Linked DNA regions of Alligator mississippiensis. The protein of the gene in region 1 purifies or fractionates together with the protein of each later gene. This does not show direct contact. Links are inferred from orthologs where the notes say so. Each region holds a gene or a part of one and is shown in the gene's direction. Other genes may lie near its edges.

Region 1 (7,802 bases):
AGGCCGATCAGGGCAGGCCCCCTGCACCCCTGGGAGGAGTCAGCAGAGCCCCGCAGCTGTCCTGGGGGTGTGGGGGGACCCGATCGGCCTCCCAAATCACATGAGGCTGTTCCTGCCACCTGGGATGGTTCTGGACACAGCTCACCACTGGCCCCAGCCAGCAACACCAGCCGCCTGTCATCCAGCAGGCAGATGGGGCCTGCCCACACCCCCGGGAGGGCTGCGGCGGCTGTGCCGGACTGCTCCCAGGGGTGCAGGCGGCCCCGATCTACCTCCTGGATCACAGGAGGCTGGTGCTGCCACATGGGGCCAGTGGCAGGCAGGCCTAGGGCAAATCAGCTCATGTGGGGACCTGCTGCCACCTTGATGCCAGAGTTGGGGAGGGTTCCCACACGATTTACCCTGGGCCTCGCACCCTCCTTTGGCCAGCTCCAGTAGGGGCCCAGGGCATATCAGTTCATGCAGAGACCCGCTGCCACCCTGATCAGCCCCCTGATATCCCTGGGACCCCGTACTGGAGCTGGCCTGAGGAGGGTGCGCAGCCCGGTGCAAATCGGATTGTGTGGGGTCCTGCCCCCACCTGGTCCTGGGGTGGGGTCAGGTCCCTGCACGAGCTGATTTGCCCCAGGCCTGCCTGCCGCTGGCCCCAGGCGGCAGCACCAGCTTCCTGCGATCCGGGAGGCAGATTGGGGGTCTGCACACCTGGAAGCAGTCCAGCACAGCCCCCGCAGCCATGCTGGGGGTGTGGGCAGCCCTGATCTGCCTGCTGGATGACAGAGGCTGGTGCTCCCACCTGGGGCCAGCAGCAGCACTGATCGTCTCGGCACTGGGTGGGCAAAACGTCGAAACAGCATCGGAACAGCAGAATGGTTTCTATGAAATGGAACAGTGCTTTCAAAACTAAACGAAACTTGAGGGAGGGCTGCAGGGGCTGTGCCGGACTGCTCCCAGGAGTGCAGGCCCCCGATCTGTCTGCTGGATGATAGGAGGCTGGTGCTGCCGGCTGGGGCCAGCAGCAGCACTGATCTTCCCAGCACTGGGTGGGCGAAATGTCAAAACAGCACCGAAACAGCAAAACAGTTTTGACAAAATGGAACAGTGCTTTCAAAATGAAACAAGACTTGAAATGAAACACTGTGCCATCAAAACGTCGAAACGAAAGTCGAAGCAGAACAGCACTGTTTCACACAGCCCTATTATGCACGTCTGATTTTGTTACTCTATAAGGTGCATCTCTATCATGTCTTCTGCTGAATGCCTACATTGACTAGGTCCTGCATGAGGGAATCATCTCCTAGCCCCCTGGGACTCATTGTGGGATCCCTGCCTAGGTAGCATAGGTGACTGGTGCCTCCTGAGTCACGGTGGTCACTTGCCTTCCCAGCAGCCAGTCAGTGACCGGGGGTGGTAATCGCCCTGACCCAAAAGTGCCAGCAGCGTGCTGGCACTTCTGGGTCAGCACAATTGGCCACGGAGGGACCGCAGGGATCGCTCCTCTTGGTACACCTATCCCCGGCCAACACTTTTAGTGGGGCAGCAGTGCTCTCACCTGCCCCCCCCACCCTCCCGGCCCTTCGCCTAAGTGGGGAACAGTGGCTGTCAGGGGGTGCACCAGCACTCTCAGGGGCTGCACATGCACCCCTGTGCACCCCCTACATGTCACCACTGCTGGGCAGGCCAAAAGGAACTCCCCACCACACCTACAGATGAGTCTGTATTGCACCCTGATCCCATGAGCCACCAGGGACCTCAGCTGATGGAACCTCGACAGAGCTGTTGCCACAGGTAAGCATCTGTAATGCTTCACAGACACCCCCAATGCAGGCAAAGGAAGCAGGGGGAGACCCTGGCACATGCCTATCTGGAGTGCACCAGGCTGCAGGCCTTCCAACACCTCCTTCAGAATCTCTGCTGAGGGCCTGGCTGCACTATTCCCTGCATCTTTTCATTTATGCACTCCCCATCCATGGTCCCACCAAGTCCCAGGACCTCCTGGTCAACCTCCTCCAGGCCCAGCTTAGCTGGCAATGTTCCTGACCAGGAAGGAGGTTCTGGCTGGGAGGACCCCTGGGGACTATGGGGCTGCTTTCTTGTCCCTAGTCCATTCATGTTTCCGGGCAATTTCACTAGGCAGTGTCCACTAGCTCCTTGGACTTGTTCAAGGACCAAGGCACTGTCTGGTGTGCTCTGCTCAGTGTCCCCCCTTGGTGCACTCATTTTGATCTTCTGCCCTTCACTCCCATCCCTGTTTTGTTTTTCAGTTGTCCCAAGAGATCCACGATGTGCCCTTAGTGTGCCCCCCCCAATCAAGTGGGGCTTATAGCTTTACTTGTGGGCTTTGACCCACAATCTGGAATGACACATCTAAAGGCTGGGCAACCCATTGCCACCACATCTACACACTCGTGGTCTGCACCCTTTATCGTCCTGTCCTTGTGTCCTGCCCAGAAACTATGTGGTGAGACACCCTCAGTGAGGACAAGGATCCCTGATGGACGAGCTTCTATTCCAGCCTGATCCTGTGAGCCACTGGGGATCTCAGCTGGTGGCTCCTCCATGGAACTGTTGCCACAGGCATGTACCTGACATGCTTCATGCATACCCCCGACACCTCCCCCTTCTGTGAGCAGAGGGAGACCCTGAGACATGCCTAACCTGAATGCACCAGGCTGCAGTCCCTTCACCACCTCCTCCAGAATCTCCTGCTCCCTCACTACTCCCTGCACCTTTTCATTTATGCCCTCCTCATCTGTGGTCCCATCAAGTCCCAGGACCTACTGGTCAGCCTCCTCCTGGCCCTAGCCAAGTTAGCAATCTACTTGATCAGGAAGGAGGCTCTGGGTGAGGTGACCCCCAGGGACTGCAGGGACATCTTCCTGTTTCTGGTCCATTCAGGTCTCTAGGCAGAGTTTCACTGGGCAGTATCTACTCTGCTGGCTCCTTGGACTCATATGAGGGCCAGTGGGCACTGTCCAGCACATCTTGCTTAGTGTGCCCCCTTGGTGCATTTACTCTGAACATTTGACCTTCACTCCCGTTCCTGTTTTGTCTTTTGTCCCACAAATTCAGTTAACACATACCCAATAGCCCCTTCTATTAACGGGGGCGGGGGAGAACTGTTGCTCTGTGAGCATAAGGCTCATGTTCCCAATATGTGTCAAACAGCCCTGTCTTCTGAAGAGACCTATACCATTGCCTATTTTGTCCTAAAGACTAGGTGCTTTCTTTTGTGGATCCTGACAACTGAGTTTTAATACAACCGGGTTCCTCATGTTCCCAGACAGACAGAGTTGGAAAGGCAGTCTGGATCCTAGGTCAATGGGAGGTCCCATTGGTCCCACCCTCCATTTGTATGGCAGTAATGTCTGCCCCATCCAGTAAGGCAGTGCTAGCAGCATGGGTCCCCGTTCTCTCCCTAAGTACTTGTCCCAGGACCTGTGGTATATTTGCTAATGTAGTAAGCTACCTCCTCACCCCACCAGCCCCCTGAACGGTGGATCTTGGAGCTAACACAGTATGAGAGCAATACTCTGTCTCACAGCTGTTGCCCCAGGTTATAGGGTATGAAAGAAAAGTAGAAGTTGAAAACATAGTTGAAGCAAATCACACTGGCAGCTGCACAGAGACAAGTAGCCCAGGTTGTAAATGTGTCATTAAATTGCCCCTGCCTATTTTGGGGTGGTGGGGCACATCTCTTTAAGGACTGCATCATGTTTGCAGCTTTTTGAACACAGGATGTGACTTCTTGTGGCATAACCCATCCACGTGCTCATGGCCTGGGCTCTTCGTAGACTTGGGGAGGTATCACTTATGCTGGTCAGGTTTTCAAACTAGGAATGATAGATGTTTACTTTTTATGTTGATGAAAGCTGACATTTTGGTGTAATCATGTAGCTCCAGAAACAGGCCCTAGGCATGGGTCTGTGCCTTCTCCAAACCACAAGTCACATCAGAGATGCCCATGGTTGGGAGAAAACTACAATCCCCAGGGGGCGTTGACAGCATGGCCTCTACTTCTTCTTACTTCTAGACCTTTTGTACAGGCCTAGGATTGAAGGGGCAGAAAAGAGTTGAAGGCCAGGATATCTAAAACAGAGAGTTTGCAGCTACTGCAACTAGCATCAGAAAAAGGAAGAAGCTGATGGACCTAACATTTCTTTGTGGAGATTGATTAGGTTATGAAAAATAAGAGGGCAATTACATTTTAAGTTTTCAAGTAGTTTATGTCTGAGGTGTTAGCCAAGTGTTGGTCATGTGACTTGGGTTTGCTTAGCTACAAGACCCGGGAACAGGGAGAAAACCATTACGGACAGATTTAAAAAAAGAGAAGTTTTAAATGTTTCTCCTGCAAAACGTAGGAACTTTTTGTTCTTTTAAAAATGATATCAGAAACTGACCTCGTCTCGGCAGAGCACATTTAGAGCCCGCATTTTGCTCGCTAAGGTGTGAAAAAGAAGACGGAATCCCTTTCAGTGCAAATGTCAGAGCTGTTCCTCTTAGCGCCTCAGTGCCGCTATCAGAGAGCACAGCTGCGCAAGTGAGCCGTCTGCCCGCGTTTCCGTAGCAGTGTTTGTCAGTCAGCTCCCTCCGGACCTGGGGCTGGGTCTCCCCGGTGCCTCAGGCTCTACCCTTCTCCTTCCAGGCCAGCGCTGGCCCCGGGAGCTGCGGTCGCGCAGCTCGGGCCGCGCGCCCGCACCCCCACCCCTCGCACCTTCCCTTCCCTTCCCTTCCCGCGGCGGTGCAGGCCGCAGTACCGGGCGGGGGCGCGGGGGGCGCGGCGGAGCGCTCGCGGGCGCCGGGAGGCAGCGGCGCAAGCTGAGCGGCGCGGGGCTCGCTGCTCTCCGTGTCGCTGCCAGAGCAAGCGGCTGCGGCCATGGGGGTCCCGGGCTGCCCGCTTTGTGCTGCTTCCCCGCGGACGTCGCCGCCTGCGGCCCCGGGCTGCAGCCACTGTTGAGCCGCATGGGCCGGGCCCCGCGTCGCTGCAGCTGCTGCTCCGAGCGGGTGAGTGAGCGGCGGGCGGGAGGTAGCTGCGGAGCGCAGCGCAGGCCCTCAGCTCCAAGCGCCGAGGCCGCGGGGCCGGGCCGCGCAAGCCGCCCCATTGTGGCGCGGGGCTGGCGGCAGCGGGCCGCTCCGCGCCCGGCGCTAGGCCGCCCTGAGCCTGGGGACTCGGGCGCCGCCGCCGGGAAGGAGCGGGCCGAGCAGGCGCTTGGCCCTGGGACCCGGCCTGCCTGTGGGGAGCCGGCGTCGGGGCCGGGAGTGGCCCTGTGGGCTGGAGGCGCCGCTCGGCGCCGGGGTCTTGCAGGGCCGGCGCGTCGGCCCGTGCGGCGAGGGAGCCGGGCCGCGCGGCCTCTGCTCTGCCCCGCTCTGCGTCGCGCCCCCTGAACTTGCCTGGCGCGGCGGTGTGCGCAGCCCTGAGCCCGGCCGCCCTCCGCTAGCTCCCCTTGTGTCAGTGGCCGGAGAGACAGCAGTTTATTCGGGCATAACCATCGTCTCCCTCCCCCATCGGCGTCCGATGTGTAGTTCCTTTGCTGGAACTACCTACCTGGAAACAGGCAGGCAGGCTAAGCGCCAAATGGTGCATGGAAACCTCTTGGTTGGGAGAACTTCAGGATGAGTGCTGTCAGAGAATGATAATTGCCTATGAAGTCCTGTGGTGGAAATGCGAATCTTGTGCACCGAGGCCTCCACCCCCAGGTGTAAATGGAACAGATAGACCACAGCACCTGTGTAGAACAGTTTCCAGGACCTGGGCCTTGGCTTGTACTCTTTTTTAATCTGATGTTCCTTGATTTATTTTGATCCATCTATACTGGCAATTTCCAGAAGTCCTTTGATGTTATTTATCCTCTAGAGGTAAAATGCCAAGTGCTTCTTCAGGTGTGAGGAACAGAGCCTTTTTTGTTTTGTTTTTGCAACAATGAGCAACATGGCTTATGTCAGCTGGAGTGTGATGTTCACCTCTGAATGAAATGGCTACAATATCATTATGTTGAATATCTTTGTTGTGAAAATCAAATTAATTCCGTGACCTCCGTTGCTCTAGTGCTGGGTGAGAAATTTACAACAAACATGGCCTAGCATGAAATGATCTACTTGGTTACAGGTGTTAAGAAAAGCCTCAGAATAGCAACTGAATGTTCATGCTTGTTTTAATCCAGTAGTTGTAAAAACATTGCTTGGTCCCATGATCAGATAGGTATAGCTGAAACATGCAGTTATTCAGACATTAAAAATTAATTAGTTTGTTATGTTGTTTCCTACTTTATTCTGTTAGGATGTTCAGGGCATTGAGGAAGTCTTCTCTTTTTTAAGGCCAGTTGAGAGCAAAGGAAATGGAAATGTGTCTGAAAGACTTATTCATCTGTGGAGGTGATCTTTGCATGAGGGGCTTGTTTCAGAATGGTTTCCTTGGTATATTTTCATGTGCAATTAAGATTTTGTTTGAAGAAGTGATTTATTAGACAGCTGTAGCTTTATAGCACTCAGGTCTTTGCGATTACTAGTGTTTTTTGAAGATTTAAATTGTATTGTCTTGATACAAAGTAGGTATCTACATTTTTATATCTCCATCCTTTTCCTTCCTTCCCTATAAAAAGCTACTAATCTTTTCTTATATTACATGAAATGAAAGGTATTTACTTATGTTTCATTTAAATATTATTTGCTGCAGACCTGAGAAAATTTCAAGTCATCACCTGAAATTGTTACCTTGATGTACGTCTTGACATACATCTTCTCTATGCCATGTTTTCTCAAATTACGTTTTTGGAAAATGTAAAAAAACGATACATTTAAACATCAAGACAACTTGAGGTGATGATTTGAATTTTTCTCAGGTCTGCAGCAAATAGTATTTAAATGAACCATCAATAAATACCTTTCATTCCATGTAATATAAGAAAAGATTAGTAGTTCTTATAAGAATATACTCATTTGTTGCAAAAGTTTAATTTAGATACCATGTAAAATATCTAGAATTGACAGCATATTAGGATTTTAATTTTATTAAAGGCTCTGGTATAATTATTCTGGTGCCACAAATATTCGTACCACTCAAATTGCTTATTGATTAATGTGATAAGATGATGCAGCGCATTTCAAAAACTGCTGGACTGTAGAGGCAGTTCATATTGTAAGTACAACTGATTGTATTGAAGGCTGTCTACACTTGATTAAGTTATATTCCTGGCTTAAGTGCCAAATGGAAATACATTCAGAATCGTCCCATGTGCCCCAAAAGAAATTCCAAACCATTCTGGAGACATGAATTTACCTGGTGTTTTATTTTTGCATGACTAAACACTATATTTTTTTCTAATTTAAACTTCATAATGAAATATGCACACTGAAAAAGTGAATTGAGTGTCCCATTTACATAATTATCTACAACCATGTTTGAGGATTGTTCATGGTGGTTTTAAAATTTGGATAACTCAATAATAAGAAATTCAGGAGTACTGGAATACTGTACCAAGAGGAAGACTAGGAACATAATCCTGTGAAGCAGAAATAGCCATTCCAGACTCTTAGGATATCTCTTAGAATATGCAATATCTCTTAACTTTGTTCTCATTTATTTCACCAGGATAAACACGTTCATGTTGGAAATACAAACAGTGGGGATTTGAGACTTAGGCTGTTCTGTCCTTGTTCCTGTGCATGTAAACAAACATGAATGTCCAGGGGAAAAGTTTCCCTTTGGATCTTGGGGGAAGCTTTACTGAAGATGCTCCAAGGCCACCAGTCCCTGGTGAGGAAGGTGAACTAGTTGCCACAGATCCAAGGCCAATTAGCCATGGTTT
Region 2 (7,768 bases), on another chromosome or scaffold:
GCTCTGTTCTAGTATGAAGTGAGGAAAGGGCTTTCCTTTTAAGTAGTAGTATTCTATTTTTGAGTCTCCCTACAAGATTTTTGTTCCACACACTCAGAGCAAGTGGGATTTTTTAATTTATTTATTTATTTATTGGAGGGAAGAAGAATGAAAGGTTCTCCAAGGGGTTGCCAACCTAGGAGTCCCAAGGTAAGTCTTGGGTGTGTAGCAGGAATGAAGGCGGCCTTTTTTTCAGCCCACCTCTACTGCACCATCTTCCCATGCTAGCAATAGAGCGCTGAAGAGCAGCATTTCTGTACATGTCACTGTGCTACTTTCCTACCTTGTTCTCCACCAAGAGCGGAGCAGAGAATCAGCTTACAATTGTCTGTAGATCATGTCGAACATGCTTACCTTGCCACTATCCCTTTAGGAAGAGGAGTGTTGAATAGATCCCTTGGGGAGATGCATTGGATCTGCTCACTTGGCATGTGTTCTGGGTCAGTGGTGCCACATGGATTTGTGGCAAGGCGCTGGTGGAGGGTGGGAATGCTGCCTCTTACACACGAGCACTGGGAAGGGGTGATCTTTGAGCGCTCAGCATATCTAGACTGTGCCTGAAGGCCCTTGGTTTCTGACACTGGAACGCAGTCTTGTAAACGTCGGGAAAATAGTCGGTATCTGAACTTTCTGTATCTGCCAATATTTAATTCAGGGAGCGATTAAAACCATCCTGGTATAAAGAATCAGCTGTTTGAGTATGTGTCTCTGAGCGTGGCATTACCTGTGAGTTCTGCTCTGATCTTGCTGGCTATAGACTTCTCCATAATAACCCATAGCTACCTTATTTCTCAGGAGTCCCCTGTGGTTCAGTGGTAGAATCCTTGTCTACCGCACAGGAGACCTGGGTTCAATTCCTAGATGCTCATGCAACTACAGTCATGGAGGCACCAAACATCTGGTCTTTGGATTTTGTCTCAGTGGCCTGAAGGGAGGATGGAAGGTCTGGGCAACCTCCACTCTTCCAAAAAAAATTCCTGCCCAAGCATATGCATCGAAGACCTGGGTGGCCCTCATGCATACACTGTGAATCCCGGAGGATCAACAGTTGCCACTTTATTTTTCAAAACGATCCAAAGTTGTGCTTATAACAGGCATAAAATGAGCACGCCGGTGGCATGGGGTAGGTGTTCAATCCTATCCAGCAGTGTTACCATTAGGAATTGCAAACGAGCTCACCCAGTTGAAACTCCGGCACTTTAGATTCCTGCAGTGGGTGAGGCTCCTGTTTATTCAGAACAAGTTAAAAGGATGTGCTTTAATCCTGGCCGAAGCATGATCCTCCCTGCCATACTGCGCATTAAAGTATGTCGTACGCCATACCCTGCTGGGGAAGAGGTGGGTAACAAACCCCTTTTTCAAAAGTGTTTACCAGCCAGCTGCGCGATTCAGGAGTTTGAAAATCTCCCTGGACATCTTGAGTATTTTTTAATTTTTTTTTTACAGGGTAAAGAAGGTTAAAAAGAAGGTTTCGTCTGTAATTCCGTAACTGGCTTGTTTTGGCCAGAGCCTCTGGAGTCTTTGTGCCAAGAAACAAACAATTCTGCTTTCTGTGTGTTCTGCATTCCACAGCCTGAGGTCTCTGCTCTCAAGTGGCCAAGATCTCCGTGTTGTGAGCCACCATCTGACCCGAGGGTTGCAGGCACATACCTAAGGTAGAGGTTCAAAGGGCTAAGAATGTCGCTACGTGAGGAAGCTTTGTCCTTCCCCCCAGAGTCTCTTCTGCATGGGGTCCCCCCCCTCCCACCGTGGCAATCTCTGGCTACGTTGCTCAGAACAGAGACCAAGTAGCATATTTGACACCCTCCAAGCCAGAGCTGTGGTGTGTTAAAATGGCTCAATGGCACATAAACATGTGTGTGTCTAGATGTATATAGACATACGTGTGTGCATCTATAGACACCTCTCTCTGTGTGCGTATGGAGAGTTGATGACAGCATTGAAGAGCGGGACAGGCCCAATGATCTGTATGGCTGATTCGGAAGTGAGTCGGATGGATGCAAACAGTGCTTTGGAGGAAGAAGCCTTGACACTGCAGTGAAACGTGCTGGGGTTTTTTTAAGACCAATGTGAGTGGTGGATCCCTGAGGGTTTTTTTAAGGCCAAAAGAGGCCAGTGCAGTCATCTAGTCTGACAGCCCATCTACAACAGATCAGAACTGACCTGCTGGGTCCTGTATCAGGCCCATGATTTCTGCTTGAAAGACAACGTATGTTTTAGACGGACATCCCTGCTTCGTTTAAAGAATTAAGTGCTGGAGCCTAAGCCTATTCACCTCACTGCATCTGGGACTGGGCTGAGCAGGTTTTTGTGCTGTGCTAAACATTTCATAGATTTTGTACATATCAGGGCTGGAAGGGACCTTGCGAGACTGTGGGGTCCAACCCCCCTGCCCAAGGGGAAGGAAGTCAACTGGGCTCAAATGATCTGAAATGCCTGAACCTAGCCTATAGCTGAGTGTAACGGCAGAAGCGGTCGTGCTCGGTGGTGCTGCAACATTTCTTAATGCAGGTACAAAGCTACAGCAGCGATTCTCCAGCGGGGTGTTGCAGCACCGGGGTACCTTGAGATCCTTGGAAGGTGGCGTGCCGTGCGATATTAGCGTTGGTGTGCAGACATGATTCACAAAATAGAGGTAGCAAACCGTGGTGGTCTGAAGTCAGGCAAAAGGCAGGATAGAGATGCACTTCATAGACTGACTAAACCGGAGTTGCATAAGCTTTCGTGAGTCAGCTCAGACTCGCACAAGCTTATGCATCTCCTGTTTAGTGTGTAAGGTGCATCCCTGCCCTGCCTTCACAGGATGAATGCAGAGATTTCAGATAGGAATTCATAATGTTGACACCACGCTGGCCTCGTGTGTCCGTTCTGAGTTCTTAGCAACAGAAAAACTGCACTTCTGTTTTTCCACAGTCAAAAAAAAAAGTGAAAACTAAAAACTGGCATTTTCTGAGGGGTGTCGGGGGTCTAAAAAGAGTGAGAACCACTGTCCGGTTGCATGGGGCTGCTTCGCCTAATCCTTTCCTGCCGGTTTCGTTGGCTCCTATCTCGGTGACTTTGCAAGACTTGCGGGCAGCGGAGTCTCTCTCTGTATTGGCTCTGTATTTAAGCACTCAAAAGCCACTGCCGTTGCATCTTGGTTAAGGATGCAACTTTCAGGGTTTTCGGTTGTAGTCGTGTTGGTCTAAGGACGCAGGCAGGCAAGGTTCATTGAGTGGATGTGATATCTTTTGTTGGAAAGAAGTTCTTTGCAAACTTTCAGGCACAAACACCCTTCTTCAGGCACGGGGGGCTCTGCTGGTCTGAGATCTCCAAGGAGTGAAAGTAGCTAAAAGCGTAACAGGATGTCAGTACGAGATTGCAAATAGGTGGGAATTACAATCCCGTACTGACATCCCGTCACACTTTTAGCTTCTTTCACTCCTTGGACATCTCAGACCTGCAGTCTCCCTCTGCCTGTTCTTTGCAAGCTTTTGGGTACCAACACCCTTCTTCAGGCACAGGGAGACCGCTGTTGTTTTGAGATCTCCAAGGAAATGCAAGCTTCTGCACTGGGGTGATGGAGGCGAGCCAAAAGCCTGTGGCTGTCACATTGCCTGCCTTGCACCCAACTGCCCAGGCCCTGCTGGAAGGCACCGTGCAAGCCTGGGACAATGAAAGACTTGCTCTCTAGCTAGCAATAAAGGCTTCCAACGGGGCAGTGAAGTTTCCCCGCCTGTGCTGTGCACACGGAAGATCAGCCGTGGGATGAAAACGTCTCCTACTTGTCAGCAACCCCTCGATTCAAGGATGCTCACCGCCGTGGTTCGCTGGTGGGTCTTGAGGCAACTTGAGTTCAGTCATTGAGTGGCAGACCTGTCTACAGGAGCCGCTGGCTTTTCTGTTGGAGACAGTAGGCTGTAGGCCACAATTTCTCTCCTTTCCCTTCTGCTTTTTTCTCTGCTTCAAGGGCAGGACGCTTTACCTCGACACGGGCAGCCGCTCGGTTGAGGTTGCCGCGCCATGGGAGTCCCTCAGCAGCCAGCTCCTCCCGGGTCTTGATGTCGGCATGTTTTCTTGAGGTCCCTCTTCAGCGTGTCCTTGTGGCGTTTCCTCCGGCCGCCCCGACATCTCAGGCTGTTAGCGCTCGTTGCGGGAGTCGGTGCACATTCGCAAACCGTGTCCAGCTTGAGGGTCACGGGCAACACGGGCTTCGGCGAGGATGATGCATGCCGCGCTCTTCACGTCCACGGCGGGCATCTTCGTGTTGTGTCGGATGTGGGGGATCTTCGCGTTGTGTTGGCAGTGGGCGATGGTCGCGTTGTGTTGGAAGTGGGGGATTGTCGTGTGGTGTTGGCAGTGGGGGATTGTTGTCGTGCTGCGGGTGGGGACCTCCGTGCTGTGCGGGAGGTGGCGGACCGTGGTGTGGTGTGGTGTCGCGGCGGTGGAGGATGGTGGCGCCGGGCGGGTGGCGGGTGCCCTTCGTGTTGCGCGGGAGGTGGCGGATCGTGGGGTCGCGTCGCGTCGCGTGGGAGGATGGCGGGTGGGTGGAGGCCCTTGTCGCCGCGTGGCGGCGGGGCGGGGCGGGGCGGCGGCCGGCGGCGGCGGGGAACAAAGCGAGTCCGGCGCGGGGCTGGGGGCGGCGCTGCAGGCCCGGCGGGCGCGGGTGGGAGCGAGGGCCGGCGCGGCCGCTCGTGCTGGTCCCGCCCCGCGGAGGAGGCGGGGGAGGCGGAGCCGCGGCCGGAGCTTGCGCGGCGCCGGGAGCCGGGGCCGGAGCCCGAGCCGGGCCGGGCCGGGCCGGGGGCGCCATGGCGGCGGCCGAGACGAAGATCATCTACCACCTGGACGAGCAGGAGACGCCCTACCTGGTGAAGCTGCCGATCCCGGCCGAGCGCGTCACGCTGGGCGACTTCAAGGGGCTGCTGAACCGGCCCAACTACAAGTTCTACTTCAAGTCCATGGACGACGATTTCGGGTGAGCCCGAGCGGCCCGCGAACAAAGCCCGGGGCTGCGGCCTGTCCCGGCGGGGCCGGGCCTGCGGGCGCTGCGCATCCAGGACCCCGAGAAGCCGCCTCACTTCGCTGGCGGGGTCTCGCTCGGTGGCATCTCGGCGGCCCCAATCCCCGAGGGGCCGCGCTCCGCCACGGTGGCACGACCCCCGCGCGCGGGGCTGGCCGCGGCCCGTCCTGTGGGGTCGCCGTGAAGCCCCCCCTAAAGCGAGGGCAGCGGTAGACAGCGGGTGTGGGGAAGGGGCAGGCGGGTGGAGGTCCTGCTCTCCTTCAGCAGCTCGGGACACGCGCCGTGGCTTCGTAACGCGGCAGGGGAAATACCGTGCGTGTGCGTCTGCGTCCCCGACCCGGCCCGCGTGGCTCGGTAGCCGCCGGGCTGCAGGGGTTACGGGCGCGGGAGTCTCGTCCCCGGGGCCGCGCGGCTGCGGGCGAGCATCGAACCCCGCGCCTGCGGGCTTGGGCCTGCGCGTAGGACGCCCGCCAGAGGATTTGGGAACGTGTGAAGCCCCGGGTGCGGGCGGAGGATGTTTGCCGGTAGCAGGGACACGTCTCGCGTTTGGAATTAGCCTGGGCTGATTTGGCCGGTGATACAAATTAAATTAAAAAAAAAAATAATAGCTTCACGGATGGTCTAGAAAAGGAGGCATATGGCAGATGAATGAAATTTGCAGGTGAAGCAAAACTGGAAGGAGCTGCAGAAACCAGGGAGGGCAGGGAAACGAGACGGAGACTCGGCAAGATTAGGAACGGGCAGAAAACAATGAAATCGGATCCGGCATGGGCAAACGCAGATAATGCATCTGGGGAAAATAACCTTAACCCCTGGTCCTCCCAGAGAGGGAGAGAGTCAAGGAGCAGGCACGGATGAGGGGCACCAAGGCAGTGAGCGGCGCATCAGATGACGTCTGCGGTGTGATCTGGGTGGACTAAAGCGGGCAGTGTGGTTTTGTCCAGGTATCGCAGGCATGGAGGAAAGCCATGGTGGTCTGGAGCCGGGAGGGGAAGCTCCACCTGGAGGGGTGCATTTTGGAAACGAGCTGTGCAGAACAGAAGACCTACTCATTCAGAGAAGCGACAGGGGAACAAGCGGGGCAGAAGGAGACCGCCAGACCCATGCACCTGTGGGATCGTTTCCAGGGAGGGGGTGGGAACCCTCTTGCTTGAGGAGGTTTGGTGGCTAGCGGTGAAAAGCAAAACCAGAAACCATTGGGGACCAGTCTTGCGTTGGACTATGGAGAGCTAGAACTGAAGGGGTCTTCCTTCCCCAACCTAGATGGGGAGGCAGGATCATAACGTTTTGCGGAGATCTCGCAGCGACATTAAGAGTCGCTGCGGGAGTCACGGTGTATCTGCATGCGGTTGCAGCGCTTCGGTTCTTGCCGGGCAGTCTGCTGCTTTCCCCGAAGTGCCCCCTTCCCCAGCACCGCGTGGAGGGAGAACGTGGGAAAACGTCTCGAAAGGTGTTTGCGTCGAGGACCCCTTTGAGCAGCTGCAACGTTTCGTCCACCTGGAGGTCCCGTGGCAGCTGCCCGGAGAGAAAGTAGAAACTTTGGCCACTGATTTGAGAGCAAAGCTCCCCCAAACCTCGTGTGGGACGAGGCTGAGTTCTCTGCAGATCCATCGCTCGGGATGGAGGCGTTTTACCTTCTCCCAGAGGCAGCTTTTATCTGCTATAATAGAGCCCTGGCCTTTCTTCCCCAGTCCTCGGCCTGGGTCTGATTAATTATCTTGCCTTTCTCACTTTTCTCCAGGCTGGACAACTGGTCTGGTGTTCCTTTGGGAGCTCCCGTCAGCTCTTCCCATGCCCAGGGAGGCAGCGCGGCCGCCATCGCAGCCCGTGGGCTTTCCTTGCTGTTTCTCTCGTCCGTATTTGTTGGCTGCGAGAATCAGGGTAACAGCGATGCTGCTTCAGGCTTTACGTTTCCTTAGAAATATGCGCCAAGGCTTTGTTGAGTGTGGGGTGCGAGGCTGCTCAGGAAGCTAACGCTAGTCAAAGGGAAGGGTGCTCAGCCTTGACCCGTGGACCCCAAAGTGGTGTCTCTTGTAGAAAAGAAACCCAAGAAAACAATTGCCTGATAAACTGTGGGGAGGGGAGGTTTAAATAGAGAGGAGACGATGTGTTTCTTGAGCCCATCAGCGTGGCGTAAACGTGATTGTTCCCTGCCTGTTACCAAACTGTGGGGCAATGGCAGCAAGTCGTGGTGGAGTGGGTGTGAGCCCAGCGATCTGGTTTGCAGACTTTGTCTGCGTCTTCAGGAGTTGAATGACACTGCTCTCGGGTGTCCCCAGTGCTCCTGCCGGTCAGGGGGAGGATGGTCTTGGGGTGAAAGCACTAGGCTGGGGCTCATGCGGCCTGGGTCCCATTCCCAGCTCTGCTATACCTCTCCCAGGTGACTCCCTTTCTTGACCACTTAATTTCTCAATTCCTCTTCTATAAAATGGGACTTCAAGTACTTATTTTCTCCCATCTATTCCCTGAAGTCCTTAGACGGGTGGTTTTCAGCCTTTGCAGACTCGAGGCACCCTCTGGAAATTCCAGCTCTTCATTTTCAATCTTTTTTTTTGCCTAAAGAAAAATAATAAAGCAGTTTTTATGTTGCAAAGAACAGAGACAGCCCACAACTGCGGGTTTCAATTTGAAATCGCTGGGTTTATCTTGTGAATCATGTTTATAAACCTAACCGTGCTAACGTGGTATGGCACCCTGCCGCATCCTTGAAAGGTACCCAAGGGAGAATCG
Region 3 (7,810 bases), on another chromosome or scaffold:
CTTGCCCCCCCCCCCGTACCCTCCTGACATAGGGGGCATCAGGCTCCAAGGGGGGGGTCCAAGGGGCTCCAAGGTGGGGCATCAAGATGGGTCAAGGGAGGTGGGTTAGGTGGCTGATTGGCCTTCTGGAAAATGGTAGTTCCCAGCTTCCTGTGGATGGGGGGGGCTGGGTGCCCCAAAACTTGGTGTGTCCACAGAGACATGCCCCTGGGGTGGGGGGGGCTCCGCTGGGGATCCCAGGGGGCTGTGTGCATTGGTAAGGGGGGGTCCCAGGCTGCAGGCTAGGCCCAGCCCCTCTCCCCCGCCCCCCCCCAGGAATGTGGCCGGGGTTGGGCGGGCGCCTGGCGCAGAGAAAAGGCTCCTTGTCTGGGAGGCGGTGACCTCAGCCGGCAACCATCCCACCCGCCCGCTCCCCCTGCCCACCCCCCACCCCACCCCCGCCAGCGGGGTTGGGGACCACTGGGGGGGGCGCGCCTTGGGTCTGGGGACACTGGGTCAGGAGGGGGGTGCTGCGGGTTGGGAGCGAGGGGCACCAGCTCTTTTGGGGGGAGCTGTGGGTTGGGAGTGAGGGGCACCAGTTTAGTCTGGGGGGGCTGCGGGTTGGGAATGAGGGGCACTAGTGGGGCTGGGGGTCAGGAGTGAGGGGCACCAGCTCTTCTGTGGGGGGGGAGGGTGGGTGGCTTGGCACTGGCCCTGGGCTCAGTTAAACCGGTTTCCTGTTGCCCCCCAGGTGGGGGTGATGTGCACACCTTGTGGGGACCTGGGGGGGTTAACCCTTCGGCTCCCGTGCCCATGCAGAACCCAGAACCTAGGCATCCAAGTCTGCCCCTGGGGGGTGACTTTGACCTCTCTGGGAATAGCCCTTAAAGGGCCAGCAGCCTCTACCTGACCCCCGCTGCCTCCCAGGCTTCGCCTTCCCGGACTGGGCCTACAAGCCAGAGTCGAGCCCGGGCTCGCGGCAGATCCAGCTGTGGCACTTCATCCTGGAGCTGCTGCGCAAGGAGGAGTACCACGATGTCATCGCCTGGCAGGGCGACTATGGCGAGTTCGTCATCAAAGACCCGGACGAGGTGGCGCGGCTGTGGGGCGTGCGCAAGTGCAAGCCCCAGATGAACTACGACAAGCTCAGCCGGGCGCTGCGGTGAGTGGGGGAGAACCCAGGTGTCCCAGCTCCCCGGGATCCCTGTGCTGTAGCCCCCCAGCCCCCACAGCTGACTTGGAGAACCCAGGCACCCCATGTGCCCCAACTCACTGGGCTGGCTGAGGTCCCTGGGGTTTGGGTGTGGTTGTGGTGCTGACCCCTGGTCTGCCCTCCTCCCAGGTACTACTACAACAAGCGCATCCTGCACAAAACCAAGGGCAAACGCTTCACCTACAAGTTCAACTTCAACAAGCTGGTGCTGGTCAACTACCCCTTCATCGACATGGGCATGGCCGGTGAGCGGGGGGGCCAGAGGCGTACAGGGGGCGGTGGGCTGGGAGTGAGGGGCACCAGGGGTGGGAGCAGGGGGGTTGTGGGTCAGGAGTGAGGAGCACTGGGTGGGGCAGGCTGGGAGTGAGGGGGCAAAGGGCTGCAAGTTAAGAGTGAAGGGCACTGGAGGGGAGCAGGGGGTGGCAGGTTGGGACTGAGGGGCACCAGAGGAGCTGCAGGGCTGAAGTGAAGGGCACTGGGTAGGGAGCAGGCACCAGCAGGTCACGAGTGAGGGGTTGTGCCCTAGCTCACTGCAGCTGTGTGCCTGCAGGTGGGCCTGTGCCACAGAGCGCGCCGCCAGTGCCGTCGGGTGCCTCGCACTTCCGGTTCCCGCCAGCCACGCCAGGTGAAGTGTTGTCACCAGGTCCAGAGGCCCCGCGCTCACCGGGTGTCTTTGCGGCCGTGGCACGGCGCCTGGCCCGCGGCTCAGTCAGCGACTGCAGTGATGCCGCCTCGGCCGCCTCGGAGCTGGAGGAGCCTCTGGGCGAGGACCCACGCCGCCCACCTGGCCCCGACCCCTTCCGTGGGGGTCCCCCACTGCCCACCCACCCTCGCCTGGCACCTGAGGGGCTGTTCCGCGTGTACCCCCGCCCACCGCCCCGCGCTCCCGAGCCCCTCAGCCCCTTCCCTGTGTCGCCGTTGGCTGGGCCAGGCGCCCTACTGCCCCCACAGCTCTCACCTGCCTTGCCCCTGACGCCTGGGCATGTGCCGTTCACACCCTCACCCACCCTCAGCCCCATGTTCCCCGGCGGGTCCCACTTCTCCTTCAGCCCGGAGGACATGAAGCGCTACCTGCAGGCGCACACGCAGAGCGTGTACAACTACCACCTCAGCCCCCGCGCCTTCCTGCACTACCCTGGCCTGGTGGTGCCCCAGCCCCAGCGCCCTGAAAAGCCCCCAGATGAGCCTCCTGGCGCTGCCCCCTTCAAGTTCAAGCTGCAGCCACCACCCCCTGGGCGCCGCAAGGCTTCTACTGCTCTGTCCGAGCCTGTCCCGGCACCAACCCAGCCACCGCCACGCATCAAAGTGGAGCCGGTGTCCGAGGGCGACTCAGAGGAGGAGACGGTGGAGGTGACGGACCTGAGCGAGGATGATGAGGATGTGTTCAAGGCGCCGCCCGCCCCTGAGCCACCCGCCCCACTGCCACCCCCCACACCTGCTGCTGCTGCACCCCCTAAGCTGCGCTTCAAGCGGCGCTGGAGCGAGGACCGGCGCCTTGAGGCCTCCGCGCCCACCCCTGCCGATGACAAGAAGGCCAAGGCCGAGCCAGGGCCTGAGCTGCAGCTTGCCACAGCCCAGCTCTCCCTGGAGAACCGGGACTGCTAGACCCCCTCCTCACTGCCTTATTGCCCCACCCTGTGCTGGGGGGGAGCCTTTATACCCCTCTCACCATTACTGGGGGGGTTGGGGGGCACATCGGGGACCTCTATGCCTATACATATATAAATACCTATAGATATCTCCTATTTTTCAGCCCCCCCCCCCCCCCCTGCATGGGGACTGCCCCCCCTTTGTTTATAGTGAACTTGCTGCCTTGTTTTAGGGGGTCCTGGCCCCCCCCCCCGGCCTTTTTTGGAAGCACAAGAAGCAATTTCCTCTCCCCCCCCCCCCCCCCCCCCCCCCCGTCAGGCCCCTTTTCTGCAGGGGGGGCCATGTGCCCCTCTCGGGTCTGCAAGGCCTGGGGGGTTGTGGGCTGGGCTCCACCCCCTTACATCTCCCCCCCCCCCCACTATTGATCTCGGGGTTCCCTGCTGGAAACCAAAAATCTGCCCCTGGGGCCGGGCCGTGGCCCCCCTACCCCCCCCGGGGCTTTCAGGGCTGTTGCAAGTGCCTGTGCTGTGCTGGGTCCAGGGGGCCGTGCCACCCCCCCCCCCACACACCCTGGGGGGGACCTGAAGTGACTTCTTCCCTTGCCCCCCGCCCCCATCTTGCCCCCCTAGGAACAGAGAAGCCATTGACACCCCCCGGGTTCTCCCGCCCGGGGTGGAGATCCCCCCTCATCTGGGGGGCAGCGGGGACCCCCCACCTTAGTGACCTTGTTGTACAGAACCGGCCGCGGCTTCTTTTACGAATGTATAAAACCCGCGAAAAATAACCAATAAACAGTGATTTGGAGACTTCCGGTACGGGTGGTGCTGGGGGGGCCGCGGGGCGGGGGGGCGCCCAGCCCGGGGCGGAGTCCGGCTGCATTAACCCCTTCCTGCCTGGCGGGGCCCGGGCGCTGGACAGCCCACCCAGGAAGGAGAAGCTGCAGCTGGGCCCGGGCTGTGGGAGGCGGCTCTGACCACCAGTCCTCACTGCCCTGGTGCCGTAGGGAGAAGCCAGGTGTGCCCCGCTCTAGGTGCACAGCCCTCCCCCGGCTCTGGCACTGCCCCAAGCCAGAGCGTCCGGGGCCCGCCCTGCCCCGCCACATCCTCCCTGCGGGGAAGCTGGGGGCGGGGCGGGAAGCCGCGGTGGGCGTTCCCCCCGCCGGTACCCCTCACTCCGGCCGCGCTTTGCGGGAGGACACGGAGACGGGAGGAGGAGCGGCGCGCCCGGGGAGCGCGCAGAGCAAGGGAGCGGGGACGCCTCGCGTCGCTCCGTCCTCACGCAATGCCTCTTGGGAGACGTAGTCAACCCCCCACAACAGCTGGGACTACATTTCCCTCGTCGCGCCGTGCAAGCTGGGAGCTGCAGCCCCCTTCGGGAAGCGGCTGGACTCCCCTTCCCGCCACCCCTTGCGGCTCTCGCGCGCTGCGTGCTCGGAGCCTCTCCATTTTGCCTCCTCGCTTTCCCGTCGGCCCCCGCGGCAGCACGTGACGTCACTGGCAGCTCACGAGGGTTCCTGCGCAGACACCCTATTTCCCAGTCTCCATTTCCTGTCAGTCCTTGCAGACGCCTACACCCCCCCCCCACACGCTCCCAGACTCCATTTACCGGAATCCCTCGCGGCATGCCCACCTCGGTTTCCGGTCACATCTCTCCAGTGCATGCGCAGACCTCCACACCCTCCGCAGCCCATTTCCAGTCACTCACAGGCGTACATGGTATCTACCCCTCCGACCTGCGGGACTCCATTTCCCAGCGTCCCCCGGCTTCACTCCGCCATCACGCCCCTCGGACACATGCGCACACCTCCTCCTTTTCTACCTGCCGGACTCCATTTCCCGTCATGCACAGATACTCCTATCTACGCGAGTCCATTTCCTTCCGCCCCCTGCCTCATTCTCCCATCACTCCCCTCGCGCGCATGTGCAGATGCCTCATTCCCTCCCTCTCAGGGACTCCATTTCCCGGCCGGCCCCGCCCGCGCCTGCGCCATTTGTTGCCCCGCCCTTTCCCGCCGGCGCTTCCGGGGCCGGATGGACTCGCTTTCCCGGCGGCCCCCGCGCGGGGCGGGGCGGGGCCGGGCCGGCGGCTGGAGGCGCCGCAGTCGCTCCGGCCTCGCCATGAGCAGCGGTAGCGCCGGCCCGTCCCGCCCGCGCGCCGGCTCCTTCGCCGACGCCGCCCCGCCCCCCGCGGCCCCGATCCCGGCCGCTGCGGGGGGGGGCAAGGCCGGGCCCGGGCCGGGGGGGGGCGGGGGCGCCTTCCCCGCGGGGGTGAAGCTGGGCCGTGAGTGGCGGCGGGGCGGGAGCTCCCATGGGGCTGGGGGCTCCTGGGCCTGGGGGCGGGCGGGTTCCCCATGGATTTTGGGGGGCTTGGGGGTGGGGCTGTTTCCCCTAGACCTGGGGGAGGGCGCCAGGGGGGGTTCTTAGGGGTTGGGGGGCAGGCGCTGGGCTGGGGGGTCCCCTAGATCTTGGAGGCTCAGGGTGGGGGGGCTGGGTCCCTCGACCTGGGGGAGGGGGTGGAAGGGTCCCTATGGGTTTAGGGGGGTCAGGGAGGCAGGAGGGGCAGGGCTGGGGGGTCCCCATGGGTTAGGGGTTCGGGGCTGGGAGGGAGGGGTTCTTTGGGGGAGGAGCCCAGGGCCTTGGGGTTTAGGCTGGGGGAATGCTCCCTGTGGGGGGGCTTCCAGAGCGATTTGAGGAGGTTTCTCTATGAGCAACAGGTCCTGGGGGGTCCCCCCCTGCACTGGGTCAGGGTTGGGGGGCTTCGTGTTTCCTAGGGTTTGGGGGTTATGGTCTAAAGGTGCCCAATTGGTGGGGGGGCTTTAGAGGGTTCTCCAGTGTCCTTATTGGGGCGGGGGATGGGGCTGGCTGGGAAGACAGGCTAGAGTTTTATGGGGGGGGCAACAATGCATGCTCCCACGTGGGGTTCACACCCACCTGGGGGGGTGGCAGGTCTCAGCCCTCGCACCCCTGACCCTGTGCCTCCCTACATAGGGGACAGCGGGAAGCTGAGCACAGTGGTGGCAACACCGGGGCAGGGCCCTGACCGCCCGCAGGAGGTCTCCTACTCTGACATCAAGGTGATCGGCAACGGGTCCTTTGGTGTTGTGTACCAGGCACGCCTGGCCGGCTCAGGTGAGCTCGTCGCCATCAAGAAAGTGCTGCAGGACAAGCGCTTCAAGGTCAGGCATGGGGCAGGGGACTCCCTTCCCCCCACCCCTGGGACCCCCCACTCACCCTGACTCTTTGCCCCCCCACCAGAACCGGGAGCTGCAGATCATGCGGAAGCTGGACCACTGCAACATTGTGCGGCTGCGCTATTTCTTCTACTCCAGCGGGGAGAAGGTGGGGGTGCTGGGGGGGACAGCCTGGGGAGGGAGGGGCAGGACTGTCATGAGCAGGGGCGGCAATTTGGTGTAGGGTGGGTTGGGACTATCAATGGGCCCTGGGGCAGTTTGGGGCGGGGGTGGGGCTGGGACTGTCATGGGCTGGGGAGCAGTTTGGGACTTGTCAGCGGGGGGGGGCAGTTTGGGGTATAGTGGGTCAGGATTTTTGGGGCAGGGTGAGCCAGAATTGTCAGGGGAGCGGGGGACTGTGGAGGAGACCCGGGGTCCTTGGAGGGCTCTGGGGAGCCATGTTGCTCAGCTAGGGATGCACAGGGGTGGTGGTGGTGGGGGCATCCCAGGGGGTCTCACCCCCTGTCCTCCTAGAAGGACGAGGTTTATTTGAACCTGGTGCTGGATTTCGTGCCGGAGACGGTGTACCGCGTGGCCCGGCACTTCTCCAAGGCCAAGCAGACCATCCCGGTCATCTATGTCAAGGTAAGGTGGGGTCAGGGGATGTGGGGAGAAACTCCTTGCCCCCCCTCGCTGTGCTGACCGCCCATCCCCTGGTGCCCACAGGTCTACATGTACCAGCTGTTCCGCAGTCTGGCCTACATCCACTCACAGGGTGTCTGCCACCGCGACATCAAGCCCCAGAATCTGCTGGTTGACCCTGACACGGCTGTGCTCAAGCTCTGCGACTTCGGCAGGTGACGCCCAGCCCTTTGTGCGAGGGTTACTCCCCACTGACACTCGTGCCCAGCCCCTTGTGCAAGGGTTCCTCCCCTATCATGTCAGAGGTGGTATGAGAGCCAGGCCAGTGGGTTGCCTCCCTCTGCTCCCCGTGGCTGGGCCCCTGTGCAAGGCTGTGGCTGGGCCCTTGTGCTCTGGCTCATGGCCCCGATTCTCCCGCAGTGCCAAGCAGTTGGTGCGGGGCGAGCCCAATGTCTCATACATCTGCTCCCGCTACTACCGGGCCCCCGAGCTCATCTTTGGTGCCACCGACTACACGTCCAACATAGGTAAGAGCACCCCCATCCTGCCCCTGCCTGCCGGGCTGGGAATCCAGGCATCCTGATACCCTGCCCTGTCCACAGATATCTGGTCGGCGGGCTGCGTGCTGGCCGAGCTGCTGCTGGGGCAGCCCATTTTTCCTGGGGACAGCGGTGTAGACCAGCTGGTGGAGATCATCAAGGTAGGTGGAGAACTGAGGCATCCGGGTCCTGTTGCACTGCCAGTACCCAGGTGCTCATCCTTTCAAGCCCATTCCTTTCCAAGAACAGAAAGAACCCAAGCATCTTGCTCGCCATTTCCCTCCCAGAACCCAGGAATCCAGGCCCAGCTGCCCGTTCTCCTGGGCCCTGTTCCTTTCCAAGAGTAAAAGGAGAACCCAGGCATCTGGGTCCCCGTTCCCTTCCTGGATCCCAGGAGTCCAGACTCCCAGCTGCCTGTTGTGGACCTTGTTTCTTTCAAAAAGCAAAGAGAAAACCCGTGTCTGGAGTTTTTAGTTGCCCGTCCTTCCAAAGCCTATTCCTTTCCAAGAACAGAAAGAGAACCCAGGAGTCCAGGTCCCCATTCCTTTCCCAGAACCCAGGTATCTGGGATACCAACCTGGACCCCGTTCCTTTCCAAGAGCAGAGAGGGAACCCAGGCATCTGGGTCCCTGGAACCCAGGCATTCAGGCTCCTAGCTGCCTGTTTTCCTGGACCCTA

The links. Proteins that work in one complex are often made in the same cells at the same time.
Region 2: the proteins of AXIN1 (region 1) and DVL3 purify together in Homo sapiens (affinity purification with western blotting; 3 studies listed by BioGRID and IntAct, with this or other methods). This does not show direct contact. The link is inferred for Alligator mississippiensis from reciprocal best matches to the Homo sapiens genes AXIN1 and DVL3.
Region 3: the proteins of AXIN1 (region 1) and GSK3A purify together in Homo sapiens (affinity purification with mass spectrometry; 12 studies listed by BioGRID and IntAct, with this or other methods). This does not show direct contact. The link is inferred for Alligator mississippiensis from reciprocal best matches to the Homo sapiens genes AXIN1 and GSK3A.

The regions. Positions count from the first base shown.
Region 1 is NC_081836.1:22,316,804-22,324,605, forward strand, and holds the start of AXIN1 (axin-1), read left to right. Parts: upstream 1-4,787; 5' UTR 4,788-5,001; intron 5,002-7,585; 5' UTR 7,586-7,671; coding exon 7,672-7,802. UniProt on the Homo sapiens protein: Component of the beta-catenin destruction complex required for regulating CTNNB1 levels through phosphorylation and ubiquitination, and modulating Wnt-signaling.
Region 2 is NC_081830.1:83,882,418-83,890,185, reverse strand, and holds the start of DVL3 (segment polarity protein dishevelled homolog DVL-3), read left to right. Parts: upstream 1-4,755; 5' UTR 4,756-4,826; coding exon 4,827-4,993; intron 4,994-7,768. UniProt on the Homo sapiens protein: Involved in the signal transduction pathway mediated by multiple Wnt genes.
Region 3 is NC_081838.1:30,772,715-30,780,524, reverse strand, and holds the start of GSK3A (glycogen synthase kinase-3 alpha), read left to right. Parts: upstream 1-4,797; 5' UTR 4,798-4,812; coding exon 4,813-5,062; intron 5,063-5,769; coding exon 5,770-5,957; intron 5,958-6,036; coding exon 6,037-6,120; intron 6,121-6,485; coding exon 6,486-6,596; intron 6,597-6,677; coding exon 6,678-6,808; intron 6,809-7,013; coding exon 7,014-7,120; intron 7,121-7,195; coding exon 7,196-7,293; intron 7,294-7,810. Other genes in the region: ETS domain-containing transcription factor ERF, read left to right, coding at 907-1,141, 1,322-1,437, 1,743-2,797. UniProt on the Homo sapiens protein: Constitutively active protein kinase that acts as a negative regulator in the hormonal control of glucose homeostasis, Wnt signaling and regulation of transcription factors and microtubules, by phosphorylating and inactivating glycogen synthase (GYS1 or GYS2), CTNNB1/beta-catenin, APC and AXIN1.